4 linked regions of the Arabidopsis thaliana genome follow. The protein of the gene in region 4 binds, or shares a complex with, the protein of the main gene of each other region. Each region holds a gene or a part of one and is shown on either strand. Other genes may lie near its edges. The genes, in order: FUS5, CSN6A, CSN6B and CSN5B. A codon is read from its position in the direction of its gene.

Region 1 (4,726 bases), about 26 Mb from region 4:
ATTATGTTGTAACAATTATACATACAGTAGGAGAGATTTTAGGAGTCTTAGTTTATTTATTTAACTTCAAGATTCACAAACATGTTTTCTAATTACAAAAAAAAAAAACACTATTATTCCTTTATCCTTGCTCTTAAGGGTCTGTTTGAGAATTAGTTAGGTGAAAACATGTTTGAGAAATCGGCGGGGATTGTGTTTTCATGGTCATAAAACATGACCATAAACACTGAAAGAGATTATGATTATGCTGAGGGAGTGTGAGAAATCGGCAGGGATTGTCATCATATAGTACTAGACTACTAGTACTTTGTATAACGTTCTCAGGAACATGTTTCGGTCAGAATTCCGATGGTGGGATCTAGTCGATGACGTAATAAACAACACTTTCATGCCCGCCTAAGAGGCAGCTGTCGCAGACTAAGCAGGTTTCAACATGTGAGGGGCCAAGGCGCTGGCTAGTGGTCAAAAGACGGAACACTGAGAATATCTGTATCATTCCATATGATCCAAGCGCCTAGCTTTGCTCAAGTGTCAAGACTATTGATTACTGAATACTAAATTCAAAGCCATTTTTCTTTTAATGGGCAGAGAGACACCAAATTTGCTAATGAGGGAAATCAAACATAACAAGGGGTTATTGTGAGAGAGAACAGAGGATCTTATACAAGTTGAAAATCCGCAACCAAATAATCATAATCTACTCTCGGTAAATGGAATGTCAATCCGCACTGACCATTTGCTCTCTCTTGCTCCTCTACCTTGTTACAGGATGCCTCCTCCTGCGTTCCAAAGTTGAATGTGTGTATGTTATATCATCTCCTTTGTACTTATCATCTCACTCATATCTAATATTCGTTACCTCTTTGGTCGGATCCCATCTTCTTCGTAGTCCATCACTCCACTTGGTTCCCCAAACATCTCCTTATTCCCTCTGATGTCAACATCCCCCTGCCCACAACGTAAGTAAGACTATATCGACCACCACCCTTCCCAATCATATTTCAGACACAAAAAACCAAACGAACCTTGTTTCATTTCATTTAACAATCAGACAATAACCAAGTACTACCATTCCAAACAATTCATGTCCTCTAATGACTTTAACACTTCACTAACAGCCGTTGTGATTGCGTTCCTTGTTTGTTTTTAATTAAAGAAAACTTCATAATATATGTTTACATCCAACATGTAAGATTTCTTGTTCCACGAAAGAACGGTTAAAAAAGCCCGCCACAGTTGGCTGATCGATTCGTTTGTTATTAAGAAACATAACTTTTTAATCTATGATAGGACTGGACTTGGAAAGCTCAAAGACCTAGAAAGATTTTTTTATCAAGTCTCTCCCATCCCCGCTTACATAGACCTAAGCTATTAATAAGAAGAAACCCACTACAATTCTCTGAAGAAATATAAGACAGAATAGCTGACTGGACTCTAACTCATGGTCACAAGACAGTAACCAAGAAAGAATGTAACCAATATTAGTTACATAATATACTTAGTAGGGAAAAGTGAAGCCAATAGGACTCCAAGCGCGACTGACCTTCATGGACAGAGACTTCTTCACTTCTTCCACCCCTTCTTCTGCTTCCTTACGATGTTTTTTGTCCATCTCACTCATATTGTCCGCCCATTTGATCTTGTCTTGAATTGAAATGAGCAGATTCTCTGACGTGTTCAACCTAGACATCAATTTGGGCCAACACATAAAAGAGTAGGACGTCATTAGCCATGTATTCTAACATCACGTACAAGTTCTTATAATTAGATATAGAAGGCAAAAAATCCTGGATCTAAGGGAAGAAGAAAACTACCAGTTGGACAATGTGTGTAACATATTCCCTAGTTGACCTGGCCTTAGATCCCTACCAGCTGCAAACGGAACCTGCATGGTTGCAAGAGATATATGATGTTTAGAAGGGGGGGCTCGTACGTTTAGAAACAAAGCACAATGGTTAAAATAGGAAAAGGAGGCCCAAACCAAAACACACCTCAAAACATCTTTTTAACTGATCCAGTTTTCCCCTAACTATACCCTGCAAAGTGTAAAAGAAAAAAAATGAGCACCATGCGTTGTCACAGTTAGTTGTCAAATAGAGATTAGAAGACTGCTAAAGAGTACTCACCGCATACATGCATTCATTGATAAGAAAGTCCTCGAGTTCGCGAACATTGGAAACATCTAACTCGACCATTAGTGTATCATAGGGCAATACCTATAACAAGCAGAGTGAGAGAGACATTCAGTTAGGCAAACAGCAGGGGAAAAAGATAATGGAACAGAGTAGATAGCAGGAGCAAATCATGAACCTAAGACAAATATACCTTGTTAGACTCAGCAAGGGTGAGGACAGTGAGCTGCTTAAGCTTAAGAATTTGGTCAGGGGACAAGTGCGGAAGACGGGTGGCATTGCCTAGTGTTTCGATGAAAGCAAGTCAAGAGGAGAGAATATGACAAAAGGGAAAACGAATTGAAATAGCATATGACAAAGGGGTCATACATTTGTAGTCTCCCCAGGTGCCATGGGCAAACAAGCGTAGTAGATCCAGGTACACAGAATCTGTGGTTCCTTCAAGCTGCACAATTACGATTAATCAGCTACTAGTATCTATCAAGTTGTTATGATCAGCGAAGAACAAAAGCATGTAAAACCCTAGATCGTGAAAAGCATAAAGTAGTAGTACCTGGGCAACATTGGGTAGAGCCAAAATCTCGGAGAAGGCGAAGAGAGAAGGATGCGATGTGGCTTCGATGATGAGCGGGCCCAGAGCCTCGGATTTGCAAGTAGAAGCTCGCTTCACGAGCTGATCAATGATCTCGGCTTGCTTCTGCTCGATATCCATCTTCCAAACAAATCGATTTCCGGTGGTTTAGGGTTTTCTTTCTTACCACACTAATAACGAATAAAATCCCAAACTTCTTCTCTCTGCTCCTTCCTTCTTCCGTTTTTATATTACTGTTTTTTTTATGTGACCGACCGAATTCTTCTAGAATCTTGTTTAATAATTGGGCTCAAATTTCGTAGTTTCTGGGCCAAGGCCTACTAAGAGAAATATTAGAAACCGCGTCTGGTGAGCCCAAACAATCCCGGGGAAGAGAGAGACTATTGAATATTCTTCTTCCTTCATTTTGGCTGAGAGAGCGACGACGATGGCGGAATCTCGCAGCAACAGAGCGGCGGTTCAGGCTACTAACGACGATGCATCCGCCAGTAAATTGTACGCCTACCTCTTTCTCTCTTCTTTAATTAGGGCTCTTCTTTTTTTTTTGTTGTTGTTGTGGATCTTTGAGCCTAGATAATATTTTTAAAGGTCTTGTGTCAAAAAGGGATATATGAAAGACGACTATGTTCATCTCTTTGTGAAAAGACCTGTTCGAAGATCTCCCATCATTAATCGAGGTTACTTTTCCCGTTGGGCTGCCTTCCGAAAGCTTATGTCTCAGTTTCTTCTAAGCGGGACAAGTTCTAAGAAACAGATACTGTCTCTCGGAGCTGGCTTTGATACTACCTATTTTCAGTTGCTGGTGCGTCTTCTTTTTCTTCTCCTTTTTGTTAGCTTTTACCAAATTCACCATTCTTCGGCTTATTCCAGGGATCTCTCGCTTCTTCTCTTCTCATTTTGTAGGATGAGGGGAATGGGCCCAATCTCTATGTGGAACTTGATTTTAAGGAGGTACTACTGGATGAGCGTGCTGACAAAAGTATCCATCATGTGTTTTGAGTCTAATGCCTAAATGGATTTGCTTCTTACGTTAGGTGACTAGCAAGAAGGCTGCTGTTATACAAAACTCCAGCCAACTCAGGGACAAACTAGGAGCCAATGCATCTATTTCTATTGGTAAGAGCCTTTTTTCCCCCCATGTATTATTATGTAGAATGATCCTTTTCATTATGATGCATTTCAGCTTGTGCACTCATATTTTTCTTCATTCCGCTTCTACTAGCTACTAACTCAACCACCCCCTTTTACTTTGTACCGTTAGCGTCTAGTTTCAGTTGCTTACTCTTAACTCGTTGGGCTGTTTATCTCTACAGACGAAGGACAAGTTCTCAGTGATCATTACAAGTTACTTCCAGTTGACCTGCGCGATATACCAAAATTAAGAGATGTTATATCCTTTGCAGATATGGATCTAAGGTATCCATGAATAATTTTTATTTATTTTACACACTGTTATCTTGAACCTTCAACCCTCTTCTTCTACCCGGGTTTAAGATATATGGTAACAGATACTTACTGGTGATAGACCTACTTGATCCCTAATATCATTATCAGTCTGCCGACGTTTATTATTGCAGAATGTGTTTTGATTTATCTGGACCCCGATTCAAGCCGTGCCATCGTCAATTGGTCGTCAAAAACGTTTTCAACTGCAGTATTTTTCTTATATGAGCAGGTTAGCTCAACTGTGATTTTCCTTGTCTGCATAATATTGCAGATACGAATCTTATTGCTTATGTGTCTAACCCGTTGGGTTTCTGTTTGCAGATCCATCCAGATGATGCATTTGGGCATCAAATGATTAGAAATTTGGAGGTAAGAACGTGTACTCTACTACTCTAGTTACAGCGACATCTTCATTAGTAAAGCTTTTTTGAGATTTTTGTCAAAATATGGATACTAGTATGACACTAAAATATTCTAGTATTGCCACATGGGTTCATGTTGTACTGATCAATTACCTTCATTTAAACTTGTTCTGAAAGCTTAACGGTGTTTCTGT
Region 2 (4,287 bases), on a different chromosome or scaffold from region 4:
GAGTAAAATTGTGGCCGAGGACCTGACCGGTTTGCATTAGGTATCTCCTTGAGCCTTTCCTGCACAACAAATCACCAATCATCAACATTTCTTCAAATTCTCAGGAAATTTTAAACCTTTAAACAATTGTCAGCCAAATCACTTGACATAATCGAAGAACGTCTAAAACCCTAACACTACGGAAAGAAAAATCGAAACTTGGCAAGCAAATAACAAAACCCAACGAAAAATGAGATCTAATTCGACTTCTTAGTTCCAGGAGAACCAAGGAAAAGGCGAAGAATGGAATCAGGAGACTTCAAATGTCAACACTGTTTCGATCAAAAAGGAATCAGGAAGCTAACCTGGGTTTTGGAAGACGAACCAAGTAAAGCGTTGGTGAGAGCTCCGAGAGGATTAGAAGAAGAAGACGAACCAGGAACGGCACAAGCGGCTCCGCCGTTAACAAGGTCTCTCATCGCCATGTTTCCAACGGGTTTCTACTCCTCCGCCGCAATCACCGTCGTTGAATCTATCAGTATGGTTTCCTCCGTTGTCCGGAATTGATCATCAACCTCCCAAATCCTAATCTTTAGTTTGGCTCGTCTCGTGGCGGTGTTTTTTTTGTTTGTTGTGTTTGGTCACAGCTTCGTAAGAAATTATTAAATTTTTTGATAGTATTTTGGTAATTAATATTTATATATTATCCACACCACACACATTTTTAGGCTCACCAACACATTTTTGTTTAGTTATTTATTTTTGTGAAAAAACCGTTTTTTACAGTATCCGTAATTAAAAATGAATTGTTGTGAATATAGTTTTTTTTTATCTTTCTTTATCAAGATATGTTTTATCTTTTTGTCCGATTTGCTGCCACTTTTGAATTTTGTAGTTTCCTATTAGTGTTGAATTATATTTGCTTGATCATACCAAAGATAAATAAATTATATTGCTTGATTTTTGCTGGGTTTAGTTATATTTCTTGATTGATTGTGCAATGCGTTACAAACGAAGGTAGATTCTACTCTTGTACTCATATCACACATTTGGACGACCAACATGACTTCACTAATTTCATCAATAACTAAAAAAAAAAAAAAAATTCATCTACATCAACAATAGTTACAATATGCTAGGCATCTCTAGATTTTTTTTTCCTTTCATTAACTTGCAAGAATTTACACACTAGAAATCAAACATTTTGTGGAAAAAATTATAACCTTTAGTCTAACCACTGAACTATTGAACTTTCATATTGAAAAATTTGATGAATGTTGTCTGTTTTCAAATTTCTAGTACATTTTTTGTCAACTTCAGATATCTGATTTTATGAGTCTCAATCGTTTGGTTTATCTTATTTTCGTTTGTTAATTAATATAATTAGTTTCCAAAATGAAAAAATGTAATTGGAAAAACAAGTCATGAGGCCCAACCGCATATATAAGTCCTACGCTCGGCCCATACAGAAAAAACTAATATCCATATAGTTGACCCGGAAGACCCGATCTAGGATCCGAATCCACATTGATTTAAATAAAAAAAATCTTCATAAAAAAACTAAAAACCCAAAAACCAAAGAATTCATCAAAGGAGAGAGAGATCGACAATGGCACCTTCGTCATCAAGCGGTTTAACCTTCAAGCTACATCCTTTGGTAATCGTCAACATATCGGATCACTACACTAGGGTCAAAACTCAGCTCAATCCTCCTGCTTCAATCTGCGCAAGCGGCCATGGCTCAAACAACGGCGAAGCAATGTTCCAGCAAAACCCTAGGGTTTACGGATGTGTGATCGGTGTCCAGAGAGGTCGTACTGTTGAGATATTCAACAGTTTCGAGCTTTTATATGATCCTTCTACTCAAACCCTTGATAGATCTTTCCTCGAGAAGAAGCAAGAGCTCTGTAAGCTAAAGCTCACTCTTTTTATTCTCAACTATTGATGCAATCGTAAATTAAAGTTTGAACTTTTATCTGGTTTTATTGTTTATTAGATAAGAAGGTGTTCCCTGATTTCTATATTCTGGGATGGTACTCTACGGGAAGTGATGCTGAGGAATCTGATATGCATATCCATAAAGCTGTGAGTCCAATGCTCTCTCTAGTATTTTTGTATAATTGAGATTTGGTCTCTAAAAGTGTGGTTTTTGTGTCTGCTCTTGGTGACAGTTGATGGATATCAATGAATCTCCTGTTTATGTGCTTTTAAACCCTGCTATCAATCACACACAGAAGGATCTTCCAGTGACTATTTATGAAAGTGGTATGCTTCTTATAATGTCATATGGTTCTGTGGGTACATTCTGATATGTTAGCATGTTAGTATAGGTATATGCGTAGTTCAGAGTTTCTAGATATCTTCCCAAGTCTTTATCTTTATTGACTTCCAGATTTAGGTCAGATTGTTTTACAAGATCCTAACTTTTCTCTTTGTTTCATTGATTGATCTTCATTACTTGAAGAATTGCATGTCATTGATGGAATCCCGCAGCTAATTTTCGCTCATACAAGCTACACAATCGAGGTCTGTGCTTAAGTTTGATTCTGCAAATAATTTTTTTTTTTTTTGTCAAACATTCTGCAATTTAATCTATGTTATGAAAGTGTACATTGACTAAGATTTTGAGGTGTTATACAATGTAGACAGTTGAAGCTGAACGGATATCAGTTGATCATGTTGCACATCTTAAACCATCTGACGGAGGCTCAGCAGCAACCCAGTGTGAGCCTTATGTCACTAATACATATCATACTCCACTTCCTGAGTCTTACTGTTTTTGGCTGATTATTCGTTCATATGCAGTGGCTGCTCATCTTACTGGTATACATAGTGCCATCAAGATGCTTAATAGCAGAATCAGAGTGCTTTACCAAAATCTTGCTGCAATGCAGAAAGGTATATTCTGTTCTTTCCCAAGTTCCGATTCTTATCACCGTGGTTTCATGTTTACCAGTCCAGGATTCTAGCTGAAGATAGTCAAAGTTGTGTAAGTGTAATAATTTATCTGCCAACTCATTTATGTGTGTAGGTGATAAATCTTGTGACAACTCAGTTCTGAGACAAGTATCTAGCCTGCTAAGAAGATTGCCTGCCATGGAATCAGAGAGATTTCAAGATAATTTCTTGATGGTGAGTTAGTTAGATCTGCACTTGATTCTTTTCAGTGTAGCTTATTGTCTGAGATATTTCGCAACTTATGCTGGCATTTTTTCTTTTTGCAGGAGTACAACGACAAATTACTAATAACTTACCTAGCGATGATTACAAATTGTTCCAGGTTTGTACCTAATGCAACATTCTAAAGTATTTGAAAGCAAGTATATAGGCTAGCGAATGCTCTTTAACTAGTGGTTCTTTAGGAACTGTGAAAGATACGGTTTTCACCGGGCTGGTGGATTCTGTTATATCAGTTAATAATTTTGTTTGCTCAATCTGCAGCAACATGAACGAGATGGTCGACAAATTCAACACCGCATATGACAGAAACACTCGAAGAGGTGGAAGAACTGCATTCATGTAAAAGATCCTTTCCAGCGATTCTAGTTCTAAAGATCTTCTCTTGGTTCCTGAAACCATTTTTAACATTGCCTCTGTGAGAATCTATAACTCAGACGGCAAGACTTTATCCTCTTCATTGTTTCTATATCTATAAGAACATCTGCTTATCTATCAAAGCTCTTGTTTGATCTTGAACAAGTTTCTATTGTTAGTAAAAAGATTTTAAGGTTTGATTCTATCAGTCTCTCTAGTTACATCCACATCAGTCTCCAGTTAGCAATTGCAGTATTGCTACACAACACTCACTTTTTTCTTCTTTGTTGATTTCAATATAAGATAAAGAACCAGTAAAAAAGAAGACAAAACCAAGGAATGAACAATAAAACAGCCTTTACCTTCCCCAAAGTTTGAAACCAATAAATGAAAGAAGAAGAAGAAGCAGAAATTAAAAGTTATTATAAGGAGTGACCAAATGCAGAAGAAGAAGAAGAAGAGTAAATTTCAAATCTGAGGTAATCTACTCATGATCTGGTTATATACCGATTGTCCTGAATCTGAAACCGGTTCAACCTTTGGTTCCATCCCTCTCTGCATCATTGCTTCACTCATCCCAACCGGTTGTGTCATATACGGGTGAGGCAAACCCGGCATTTTCCCTTGACCATACGCTAAACCAGGCATTGAAAGATTAACCAAACCGGTTTGTCCTAAACCGAAGGAGAAACCAGAAGGAGGACCCAAATGTGGCTGAAAGCTAAAGGGACGGCTAAAAGGAGACTGATTGTTAGTTGTGACTTGTCTGTCGAA
Region 3 (5,124 bases), on a different chromosome or scaffold from region 4:
ATGATTATACTTATATGGGTTATAGCGTGAAAAAAAGAAACATCTACTTTAAGCAACAGCAGAAAGCATTAAAGAATAGATAACCCCAATTTCCGAGAGGAACGTTAGGAGAAAGTTTTTGAAAATTTACAAAACTTTCTGTTAGTAGATGCTTAATTTCATCAGTGTTTTCCAAGCAATTTTGAATTAAGGATTAATAAAATTGTTATGTATATTATGAAATAATGAAGATATTTCGCTATCTCTAGAGTCTAAAGAGATTAGCAGTTGGTGCCTTGGTGGTTGACAAAAGAAAAGAAGAAGAGATTAGCAGTTGCGTTTAACATTGGTTTTATCTAGAAAGATGAACTGATGGTTACATATAAAACTAGTCGTTGTCTGTCAGTGTCCACTAAAGACTATTTTCTTCTTTTGATATACATTTCTAAATATACAACAATATCATTTCTCCGAGGTTTGTGAATTGTTTAGGTATAAAATAGTTTTCTACAATAACTTTTGCTATCGGGTGCAAAGACATTCTACCATAGAACGAGTTTAGTATAGTGTCATTTCGTAGATTCTTTATTCGGATTGGTTTTTCAATATCAACAAAATTCTGGTTCATTTTCTTCCCTCCTATAAACGAAGGTAAAAAGAATGAAGAAAAAAGAAAAGAAAGAATATTTTGTTAATGCATTATCTAACGTGTTAATGTGTCACTTTCATTTTTCTTAATCGTTTGTTGAAAACTTTTTGCAGTTGATTTCAGGAAAACGGAACACACATATATATATATATATGTCTTTTATTTTCAATACGGACCAAATCCATCATTTGCTAATCAGTGAGAAAACTAAATCGTGGTCTACTAGTTTATATAAATTGAAAAAAGAATCATAAATAATATGTCACATATCCAACCTAAAGATTTATGTCTATACATGTAAAAATGTAAATGAGCATATTCCCAAATTTCCCACAAGTATATAGCACTACCTACACTCACGCTTCTTCAAAGTGAAGGCGATGGTGGAAAAAAGCGTAGACGATGACTTGATAAGATTGACTGAAGAAAAGAAAAAAAGTTATCATAAGTCAAAAAGCATGTCGTTAGAGTTTGACGAGATCCCATGCATGATTATATTGTCGGATACAATTGTTTGAACAATACGGTTGGAAAAATCTACCGTAATATGAAGACTTGAATGACATAACTAAAGATTGTACCTTGCAAGCCAGCAATGTGTTAATGATATGAGTAAGGGTGCAGAGGCTGCGGCTGGTGGCTACTGGCTAGTGATAAGCAATTTACGATGTAATGACAGATATATCATAGGAGACTAGGAGTTATATATGGTATATATAGAATCTAAAATAACATATTTATCAATTTACTATATTAAGTTTTATGGTTCCAAACTCAAAACTAATTGTTTATGAGTAGATTTGGTTTATATACTGTATATTACTCATATTCTATTTCCACTTTTAATGTGGGATTTCTCATAAACTATATACAGTTATATTTTTAATTAATGAAATAACAATAATACAGATTTAAATGTAGCCTTAACTATTTTTATGAAATTTAAATGAAATTTAATTTAAAAGATTGCATTCAGAATACAAAACTGTAATATTCTGTAAAATATTGATAGGTACTACTTACAACATAGGAAACATATTTAAAGATATGTTATATAAACTAAAAATAGTTTAAAATATCAATATATATATATATATATATATATATTACGAAAAGAAGAATTAAAACAGACTACACACATAATAAAATTTTAATAGTAACACTTACAAACATATCCAATAATATTAAATAAAATTAATTCATTATGATCTTTATGTTATTTCTATATACTCAAACCAAAAAAAAAGAAGTAAATGATTCAAAATCCAATCATAATTATTTTTCAAATTCATTAAAATACAAGAAATTTCATATTAAAAAAATAGATATTTCTTTCAAAGATTTATATTCAAATTATAAATATATACTAAAACGCTAAAAAATTAAGTACATGCTATAATCTTTTCCATTATTTTTCTAACAAAAGAAAGTTATATATGGGCTAAACTTAGAAGGAAAGCCCAAGAGGCCAAGACTATATAAAGATTCATGACCCGAGTTTAAGATCCGATTTCAGAATTTGGGACTAAAGGAGGACAACGACAAGCGCCGGGAAAAAATCGAGAGCGACAACAATGGCGCCTTCTTCGTCGAGCGGTCTCACGTTCAAGCTACATCCTCTGGTGATGCTTAACATATCCGATCACTTCACTAGGGTTAAAACTCAGCTTAATCCTCCCGCCGCTTCTTGCGCCACCGGGAATGGCTCCAACAACGCCGACGCGATGTTACTGCAAAACCCTAGGGTTTATGGCTGCGTCATCGGTCTCCAGAGAGGTCGTACGGTTGAGATCTTCAACAGTTTCGAGCTGATATTCGATCCTGCTCTTGATACTCTCGACAGATCCTTCCTCGAGAAGAAGCAAGAACTCTGTAAGTTTACTTACACTCGCTCACTTTTGTTGTCGATTGTTTGATACTCTTGCTAATTTGTGAGTTTTGTTATTTTTTAGATAAGAAGGTGTTCCCTGACTTCTACGTATTGGGATGGTATTCTACGGGAAGTGACGCTACCGAATCTGATATGCATATCCACAAAGCTGTGAGTAGTGTAGCTTTAATGTTTAATATAAATTTAATTGAATTTAGGATTCTCATTGTACTGATTTGTTGAGGTTTTCATCTACAGCTGATGGACATTAATGAATCTCCTGTGTATGTTCTTTTAAATCCTGCTATCAATCATGCACAGAAGGATCTTCCTGTGACTATCTACGAAAGCGGTAAAAATTGGTTATTTGCATCACTGATTGTCTTATTGTTTTATAGATTATAATCTTGCTAATCCTGTCTTTTTGATTGTTTTCAAAATTTGAAGAATTTCATGTCATTGATGGAATTCCTCAGTCGATTTTCGTGCATACCAGCTACACAATTGAGGTATGTGTTTAGGCCACTTGATCTGTAATCTATCTATGTGATATGAGAGTGGACTTTCAATAACATTGCAATGATTGTAAACGCGTGCAGACAGTTGAAGCTGAAAGAATATCTGTTGATCATGTTGCACATCTTAAGCCATCTGATGGAGGCTCAGCTGCGACTCAGTGTAAGCTTTATTATCACTTCATATTTATCATAATCTGTTCTTTCTTTTTCATCTGCATGGAATTTTAGGTTGATTCCTCGATTTTGTGCAGTGGCTGCTCATCTTACTGGAATACATAGTGCCATCAAGATGCTTAATAGCAGAATCAGAGTGCTATACCAGCATATTGTCGCTATGCAGAAAGGTATATTCTTGCTCAAGTCCCCACTCTCGGTCCCTCTTCAATTTGTTAATCAAGCTTTTGTGACCTGTCCCTTGATCTTAGAATATTTCTATGTGTTTTCCTACGGGGAAGAAAGAATTAAAAGGGTGTTAGAAGATGATTTTGAGCAAGAGTAATGTGGTACTAATGACTTATGTGATTCTGCATCTAGGTGATAAACCTTGTGAGAACTCAGTTCTGAGACAAGTATCTAGTCTGCTCAGAAGTTTGCCTGCCGCAGAATCAGAGAAGTTCAATGAAAATTTCTTGATGGTAAGTAGTACCTTACCTTTTTCTAGCAATGTTGGTTAAATAAAGTGGCCTTCGAATCTCTTAAATTCTTAATGTAGCTTGTTGTTGTGAATGATATCTTTATAAATATGATGTTCTCTTCTTTTGCAGGAGTACAACGACAAATTGCTGATGTCTTACCTAGCAATGATCACGAATTGTACCAGGTATGTGCTCGACACGCTATTCCATTTAACTATTTGAATAAAAGAATGATGGACATGCATGCAAATCTTTTGCTTGATACAATGCAATGTTTTACGATACCAAGACAGATGAAATCACCAGTACTTGGTTGAGGCTGACATTGAGATAGTTTGTTTTATTTAGATTAAGAACTAAATCTAGGACCTTGCTCAATTATCCTTGTTATAATTAAGATACTGAGCCTGTAGTAGCTAAGGGAATATAAGCTTCTTTTTAAAAAAAAAATCTAATCTTGTGCTACACCTTGACCAATCCATATGTCAATTTCATTCCAACGAAATGTCCTGAAAGAATCCTTTGTATATTTGATCTCTTACTCTCCTTTTTCCCCCCAAAATGCAGCAACATGAACGAGGTGGTTGACAAATTCAACACTGCATACGACAAACACAGCCGAAGAGGTGGTAGGACTGCGTTCATGTAAAGATTAGTTTCAATGTAAAAAAACCTTTTCTTTCTTTTGGTGGTCTGGTCCCTAAGTGAAAATTTAGAACTCTTTTAAGGCATTTCACTTTTCGGAACCAAACAAACAGCTAGGAAGCTTTTCTTCTGTTTAAGCTTTGTCTAGACAGAAGCTAAGTTTAGGCCTAACTAAATTTTGCGACAAGACTGTAAAAACAAAACAGCTTTTACCTTCTCTCAATTTTTCATTTATTCAAAAATTTGAGCAATCAGTGAACAAAGAGATTTGTTTCATATCTGTCGTAATCTACTCAACATCTCTCTGCATATCAATGAGCTCGCTGACAAATCAAGTCCCTGTTGTGGTGACACTGGTTCCACCTTCGGCTGTGCTGCTAACTGCAACATTAGGCCAGTTGGATCCCCAATGTCAGGCGCCTGCAGGCTGGTAAGCTTCTCTTGCCCAATAGTTAGACCAGGCATTGAAAGATCAGAAAGCTCAGATTGGCCTATGTAAACGGAGAAACCTGTAGGATGCCTCAGGTGTGACTGGAAGTCAAATAGAGATGAGTTGGCTGTGGCCAGTCCCTCAGATCTACTGTGTGGCATTGGATAGTGCACATTGTGGTTGTGGGTCTGAGTCGCTAAACTGCCTTGGAGAGTCCCTGAACTGCCTGCACCGACGTGGCTGCTGTTGCGTGCTGCTGGTACAACGTGGGTGTGCTTGCCTATATAAGTTGTTAGTACGCTCTTGAAGTCATCAGAGGCTCTCTCTACATGCTTCGTTACGGTACATCCATTAGCTGTGCATTTATAGTAGCTCCTGAAAACATAGAAAACTGATTT
Region 4 (4,343 bases):
TTCATTTCTTTCTTGCGATTTTGATGCTTGGAAGATGTCACTATAAGGTATTCGACATGTGTTCTGTAGGTTATATTTGTCGACGCAGATCAAATTATAAGGACAGACATGGGAGAACTGTATGATATGGATATTAAAGGAAGACCTCTCGCGTATACTCCTTTTTGTGACAACAACAGGGAAATGGATGGCTATAAATTTTGGAAACAGGTAAACATTAATCTTTTTGTTTTGCTTGTAGAGGTAGTTTTGGTTTCCATACTCTTACATTCTCAATTGCTTTGAACAGGGTTTCTGGAAAGAACATTTACGTGGTAGGCCATACCATATCAGGTAAAAAAACCTACTTGAACCTCAGTAAGTTGTTGCTTTTCCCATTCTTAATGTGCCTTGTTCTATCTGTAGTGCTCTATACGTTGTTGACTTGGTTAAGTTCCGAGAGACAGCGGCAGGAGATAATCTAAGAGTATTCTATGAGACGCTTAGCAAGGATCCAAACAGTTTGTCCAACCTAGATCAGGCAAGTTGTATAATATGGTTCTCTATACTTAGGGCTGTAACCTTTCTTTGGTGGTCACACTATCGTTTTACTTTATTTGAAAGGCTTTTGCATTTGACTCTTACCATACACCATGCTCTGAATCTTTAGAGTTCCAGGTTCAAACATATTGATGGCATGTCATTATTTTGTTTCAGGATCTTCCTAATTATGCTCAGCATACTGTTCCTATATTTTCACTTCCCCAAGAGTGGTTGTGGTGTGAATCCTGGTGTGGAAACGCCACAAAAGCCAAGGCCAGAACAATCGATCTTTGCAATAATCCCATGACAAAGGAACCAAAGCTTCAGGTAAAATGATGGCTTTCCTCATATCTACAACACTCACAAAGCGTTGTTTGTTATAATGCGGTGTTCTTCTGCAGGGTGCCCGAAGAATCGTAACCGAATGGCCCGATCTTGATCTCGAAGCACGAAAATTCACAGCAAAAATCTTGGGTGAAGATGTGGAACTCAACGAGCCAGTAGCTGCTCCTGCTACAGACAAGCCTAATCCTCTTCCATCAAATGACATCTCTGAAGATACAGAACAAGACTTGGAATCTAAAGCAGAACTGTAAATTCAATGCTCCTGAAGTTTCAAAAGAGGAGAAGATAAATTAGACAATCATGGCTATTTTGCATTTGCTAGATAAGGTTTCTAGTTTTGTAGCTACAGTTTCTTAGACATCTCTCACATAAATTAGACAGAAGATAAAGTCAACAGATTGCAGGAGAATAAGAATATCAGTATAATATGATTTTGAATCAATTACAAACATAGTCACTCATAACGTATTTGTAAACTCGTCCGTCCAAAATCTCAAATCAAACCAAACCGACAAACCAGTAAAAAAACCGAACCGGAAAACTGACGTGTCAGTGTCTGTATAAAAAGCAATACGTGTTCTTTTAGCAAAGGGTCTGACACTCTGATAGAAAAGCTGAAGTAATTCAATAAATTATTTTAGAAGAGGGAAGAAATCTACGGTTTTACAAGGGGACGTTATTTATTAATGGATTTTAATAGAAAGAAATCCAACACTAATACACTGTTATTTAATTAATGATTTTAAATTCAATTTTAAAATTTAGTGTTATTGGAGTTTATATCTTTGTAAATCATGTTTAATAGATTTTAAAATTTTGTGTTATTCAATTAAAAGATTTTAATACCGTCAAAAAAAAAAAAAAAAAAACAAACTAAAAGGATTTTAAATTTTATTTCTAAATTAGAGAAGAATCCAGAGGAATTAATTTTCACCACTTTTCTCTTCTTATATATAAGTCAATCCCCGAAGTAACATTTTTGACACAGTTTTCAATTCTTCAGCAGACAGATCGATCACACTCCATCGATTCCGTATGAAACCCTAGATTTCTGCAACTGAATTCCTAATTCGAAAAAGAATGGAGGGTTCGTCGTCGACGATAGCAAGGAAGACATGGGAACTAGAGAACAGCATTCTAACAGTAGACTCACCTGATTCAACCTCCGACAACATCTTCTACTACGACGATACTTCACAGACTAGGTTCCAGCAAGAGAAACCGTGGGAGAATGATCCTCACTACTTTAAACGAGTCAAGATCTCAGCGCTCGCTCTTCTTAAGATGGTGGTTCACGCTCGCTCTGGTGGTACAATTGAAATAATGGGTCTTATGCAAGGTAAGACCGATGGTGATACTATCATTGTTATGGATGCTTTTGCTTTACCAGTGGAAGGTACTGAGACAAGGGTTAATGCTCAGGATGATGCTTATGAGTACATGGTTGAGTATTCACAGACCAACAAGCTCGTAAGTGAGATTCAAGAAACTTCAAAGTTTTGATTTTTTTCTTTAGAAAGTTTGTATATAAGTCAGAACAGTTTGATTGATTATGGTTATAATAACTTGACCTTTATAAGGCGGGGCGGCTGGAGAATGTTGTTGGATGGTATCACTCTCACCCTGGATATGGATGCTGGCTCTCCGGTATTGATGTTTCTACGCAGAGGCTTAACCAACAGCATCAGGAGCCATTTTTAGCTGTTGTTATTGATCCCACAAGGACTGTTTCAGCTGGTAAGGTTGAGATTGGTGCTTTCAGAACATACTCTAAAGGATATAAGCCTCCAGATGAACCTGTTTCTGAGTATCAAACTATTCCTTTAAATAAGATTGAGGACTTTGGTGTTCACTGCAAACAGGTACATTTTCTTGATTTTTCTCGGTGCAAGGTCCCAACATGATTCTTATGTTTGGCTTTTGGTTTTGGCAGTACTATTCATTAGATGTCACTTATTTCAAGTCATCTCTTGATTCTCACCTTCTGGATCTACTATGGAACAAGTACTGGGTGAACACTCTTTCTTCTTCTCCACTGCTGGGTAATGGAGACTATGTTGCTGGACAAATATCAGACTTAGGTAAACTCTTGGATATGGCCTAAATCATTCACTCTTACTTTTTTTTCTCAAGTCACAGTCAAGTAATGTGTTATATAATCGTTTTCGTAATTTTACCAATGAAGCTGAGAAGCTTGAGCAAGCCGAGAGTCATCTGGTTCAGTCTCGCTTTGGAGGAGTTGTGCCATCATCCCTTCATAAGAAAAAAGAGGTATGTCCTAGTGGTTCATCAAATTTTAATTGCGATTACGGTGGCTAGTTAAGTGCCTCTGTAAACATCTAGCTACTAAGAGGATATATCTTCAAATGTTTTGGTTATTGGGACCTGGAGGTGTTCTGTTTAGTTGAAATGAAAGTGTTGTTGAAGGTTGTACAGATATATAACTTTCGAGAATGTTAATGGGTGTTGCTTGTTAAAGATCTCATTTGACGTGTGTTCTAAATCACTTTCAGGATGAGTCTCAACTAACTAAGATAACTCGGGATAGCGCAAAGATAACTGTGGAACAGGTCCATGGACTAATGTCGCAGGTGAGTAATAATATTGAAACGAAATGGTGACATATCTCCCTTAAGGTTCGTGTATTTCACAGACTCAAAATCCATCATTGTTGTACTTGTAGGTCATAAAAGATGAATTATTCAACTCAATGCGTCAGTCCAACAACAAATCTCCCACTGACTCGTCGGATCCAGACCCTATGATTACATATTGAAGTTGCTCTTCTTTTGGTTTCTAGTTTTGGATTGACCCATCATTTGTTGTCCTTTCATTTATTTTCTGTTGTGTAAAGAATTATAATGCTAATGAGAATAATACAGAAGAAGATTTTGGTTAAAGAAATGTTTTTAAGCCCATTCGATTCGTCGGGGTTAAAGGAATAATCTTAAGCCCTTAAACAAAAATTGTATTTATGGAAATCAGAAACCTAGTGATCTTTTCCAACTCTATCCCCTCTCTCTTTCCTTCTCTGCACTCACGTTGTCCGTGAATAGGTGGTACTAAAACATGGCTAACAATGGCAATCATCTTTCTCTGTCTTTGTTTGTTGATGAAAAGTGTTCCTTATGGGACTGTCGACGACGACGCCCACAAGGAGCTATGTACTGCCAACCTGACCATCTTCAACAAGCTTATCAAGAACGCACTTCACACAACATGGCAAACTTATACACTTGAAGACGTAGTATTGCGGAGAATCTTAGAAAGCCTTAGTTATCCGGAGCTTCGTGGAAGTCCGGGGATACCAAACCTTCAAGAAAACAGTCAGTTATTGTCTATAGCTCCGCACGGATATGTTTCCTACAAATTTGACATGTAGCGAGAAACATAGCATATGGCTGTTTCTCGCGCTGTTCGTGCCCGACCAAGGGGTTTGGAAACTGGTTAAAGAACGGCATCGAAGGAACTATGTA

Evidence for each region.
Region 1: CSN5B (region 4) and FUS5 share a complex: the UniProt entries of both Arabidopsis thaliana proteins name them as parts of the CSN complex.
Region 2: CSN5B (region 4) and CSN6A share a complex: the UniProt entries of both Arabidopsis thaliana proteins name them as parts of the CSN complex.
Region 3: the proteins of CSN5B (region 4) and CSN6B are in contact, whole or in part, in a cryo-EM structure (PDB 9IS6), measured with the Arabidopsis thaliana proteins. Residues at the interface, in NP_177279.1 of Arabidopsis thaliana: Asp30 (codon at 2,035), Phe33 (codon at 2,044), Tyr34 (codon at 2,047), Tyr35 (codon at 2,050), Ala63 (codon at 2,134), Leu64 (codon at 2,137), Leu66 (codon at 2,143), Leu67 (codon at 2,146), Lys68 (codon at 2,149), Val70 (codon at 2,155), Val71 (codon at 2,158), Arg74 (codon at 2,167), Asp98 (codon at 2,239), Ala101 (codon at 2,248), Leu102 (codon at 2,251), Pro103 (codon at 2,254), Tyr120 (codon at 2,305), Glu123 (codon at 2,314), Tyr124 (codon at 2,317), Thr127 (codon at 2,326), Asn128 (codon at 2,329), Leu130 (codon at 2,335), Ala131 (codon at 2,448), Gly132 (codon at 2,451), Arg133 (codon at 2,454), Leu134 (codon at 2,457), Thr179 (codon at 2,592), Val180 (codon at 2,595), Gly183 (codon at 2,604), Lys184 (codon at 2,607); in NP_567746.1 of Arabidopsis thaliana: Pro15 (codon at 2,245), Leu16 (codon at 2,248), Met18 (codon at 2,254), Leu19 (codon at 2,257), Asn20 (codon at 2,260), Ser22 (codon at 2,266), Asp23 (codon at 2,269), His24 (codon at 2,272), Phe25 (codon at 2,275), Thr26 (codon at 2,278), Arg27 (codon at 2,281), Thr30 (codon at 2,290), Gln31 (codon at 2,293), Pro35 (codon at 2,305), Glu78 (codon at 2,434), Ile80 (codon at 2,440), Phe92 (codon at 2,476), Lys95 (codon at 2,485), Lys96 (codon at 2,488), Leu99 (codon at 2,497), Tyr100 (codon at 2,500), Lys102 (codon at 2,586), Val103 (codon at 2,589), Pro144 (codon at 2,799), Ile146 (codon at 2,805), Asn147 (codon at 2,808), Gln150 (codon at 2,817), Lys151 (codon at 2,820), Asp152 (codon at 2,823), Leu153 (codon at 2,826).

The regions. Positions count from the first base shown.
Region 1 is NC_003070.9:386,725-391,450, forward strand, and holds FUS5 (Proteasome component (PCI) domain protein), read right to left. Parts: upstream 3,085-4,726; 5' UTR 2,845-3,084; coding exon 2,686-2,844; intron 2,578-2,685; coding exon 2,502-2,577; intron 2,415-2,501; coding exon 2,326-2,414; intron 2,217-2,325; coding exon 2,127-2,216; intron 2,037-2,126; coding exon 1,992-2,036; intron 1,886-1,991; coding exon 1,815-1,885; intron 1,683-1,814; coding exon 1,544-1,682; coding exon of another isoform or gene 1,499-1,543; exon of another isoform or gene 949-1,498; coding exon 860-948; intron 780-859; coding exon 755-779; 3' UTR 553-754; downstream 1-552. Other genes in the region: SBI1 (Leucine carboxyl methyltransferase), read left to right, coding at 3,152-3,219, 3,313-3,526, 3,628-3,675, 3,759-3,840, 4,038-4,140, 4,279-4,399, 4,492-4,539. UniProt on the Arabidopsis thaliana protein: Component of the COP9 signalosome complex (CSN), a complex involved in various cellular and developmental processes such as photomorphogenesis and auxin and jasmonate responses.
Region 2 is NC_003076.8:22,782,832-22,787,118, reverse strand, and holds CSN6A (COP9 signalosome subunit 6A), read left to right. Parts: upstream 1-1,513; 5' UTR 1,514-1,588; coding exon 1,589-1,886; intron 1,887-1,975; coding exon 1,976-2,064; intron 2,065-2,150; coding exon 2,151-2,244; intron 2,245-2,443; coding exon 2,444-2,505; intron 2,506-2,624; coding exon 2,625-2,703; intron 2,704-2,784; coding exon 2,785-2,877; intron 2,878-3,010; coding exon 3,011-3,111; intron 3,112-3,203; coding exon 3,204-3,259; intron 3,260-3,420; coding exon 3,421-3,502; 3' UTR 3,503-3,735; downstream 3,736-4,287. Other genes in the region: PEX5 (peroxin 5), read right to left, coding at 1-59, 345-464; WRKY2 (WRKY DNA-binding protein 2), read right to left, coding at 3,982-4,287. UniProt on the Arabidopsis thaliana protein: Component of the COP9 signalosome complex (CSN), a complex involved in various cellular and developmental processes such as photomorphogenesis and auxin and jasmonate responses.
Region 3 is NC_003075.7:13,353,027-13,358,150, forward strand, and holds CSN6B (COP9 signalosome subunit 6B), read left to right. Parts: upstream 1-1,965; 5' UTR 1,966-2,202; coding exon 2,203-2,500; intron 2,501-2,580; coding exon 2,581-2,669; intron 2,670-2,756; coding exon 2,757-2,850; intron 2,851-2,945; coding exon 2,946-3,007; intron 3,008-3,097; coding exon 3,098-3,176; intron 3,177-3,267; coding exon 3,268-3,360; intron 3,361-3,550; coding exon 3,551-3,651; intron 3,652-3,780; coding exon 3,781-3,836; intron 3,837-4,218; coding exon 4,219-4,300; 3' UTR 4,301-4,569; downstream 4,570-5,124. Other genes in the region: WRKY34 (WRKY DNA-binding protein 34), read right to left, coding at 4,570-5,101. UniProt on the Arabidopsis thaliana protein: Component of the COP9 signalosome complex (CSN), a complex involved in various cellular and developmental processes such as photomorphogenesis and auxin and jasmonate responses.
Region 4 is NC_003070.9:26,850,613-26,854,955, forward strand, and holds CSN5B (COP9-signalosome 5B), read left to right. Parts: upstream 1-1,793; 5' UTR 1,794-1,947; coding exon 1,948-2,337; intron 2,338-2,447; coding exon 2,448-2,729; intron 2,730-2,800; coding exon 2,801-2,948; intron 2,949-3,052; coding exon 3,053-3,138; intron 3,139-3,380; coding exon 3,381-3,458; intron 3,459-3,550; coding exon 3,551-3,643; 3' UTR 3,644-3,807; downstream 3,808-4,343. Other genes in the region: EBS1 (EMS-MUTAGENIZED BRI1 SUPPRESSOR 1), read left to right, coding at 70-210, 290-333, 406-520, 697-849, 924-1,118; AT1G71235 (uncharacterized protein), read left to right, coding at 3,947-4,193. UniProt on the Arabidopsis thaliana protein: Probable protease subunit of the COP9 signalosome complex (CSN), a complex involved in various cellular and developmental processes such as photomorphogenesis and auxin and jasmonate responses.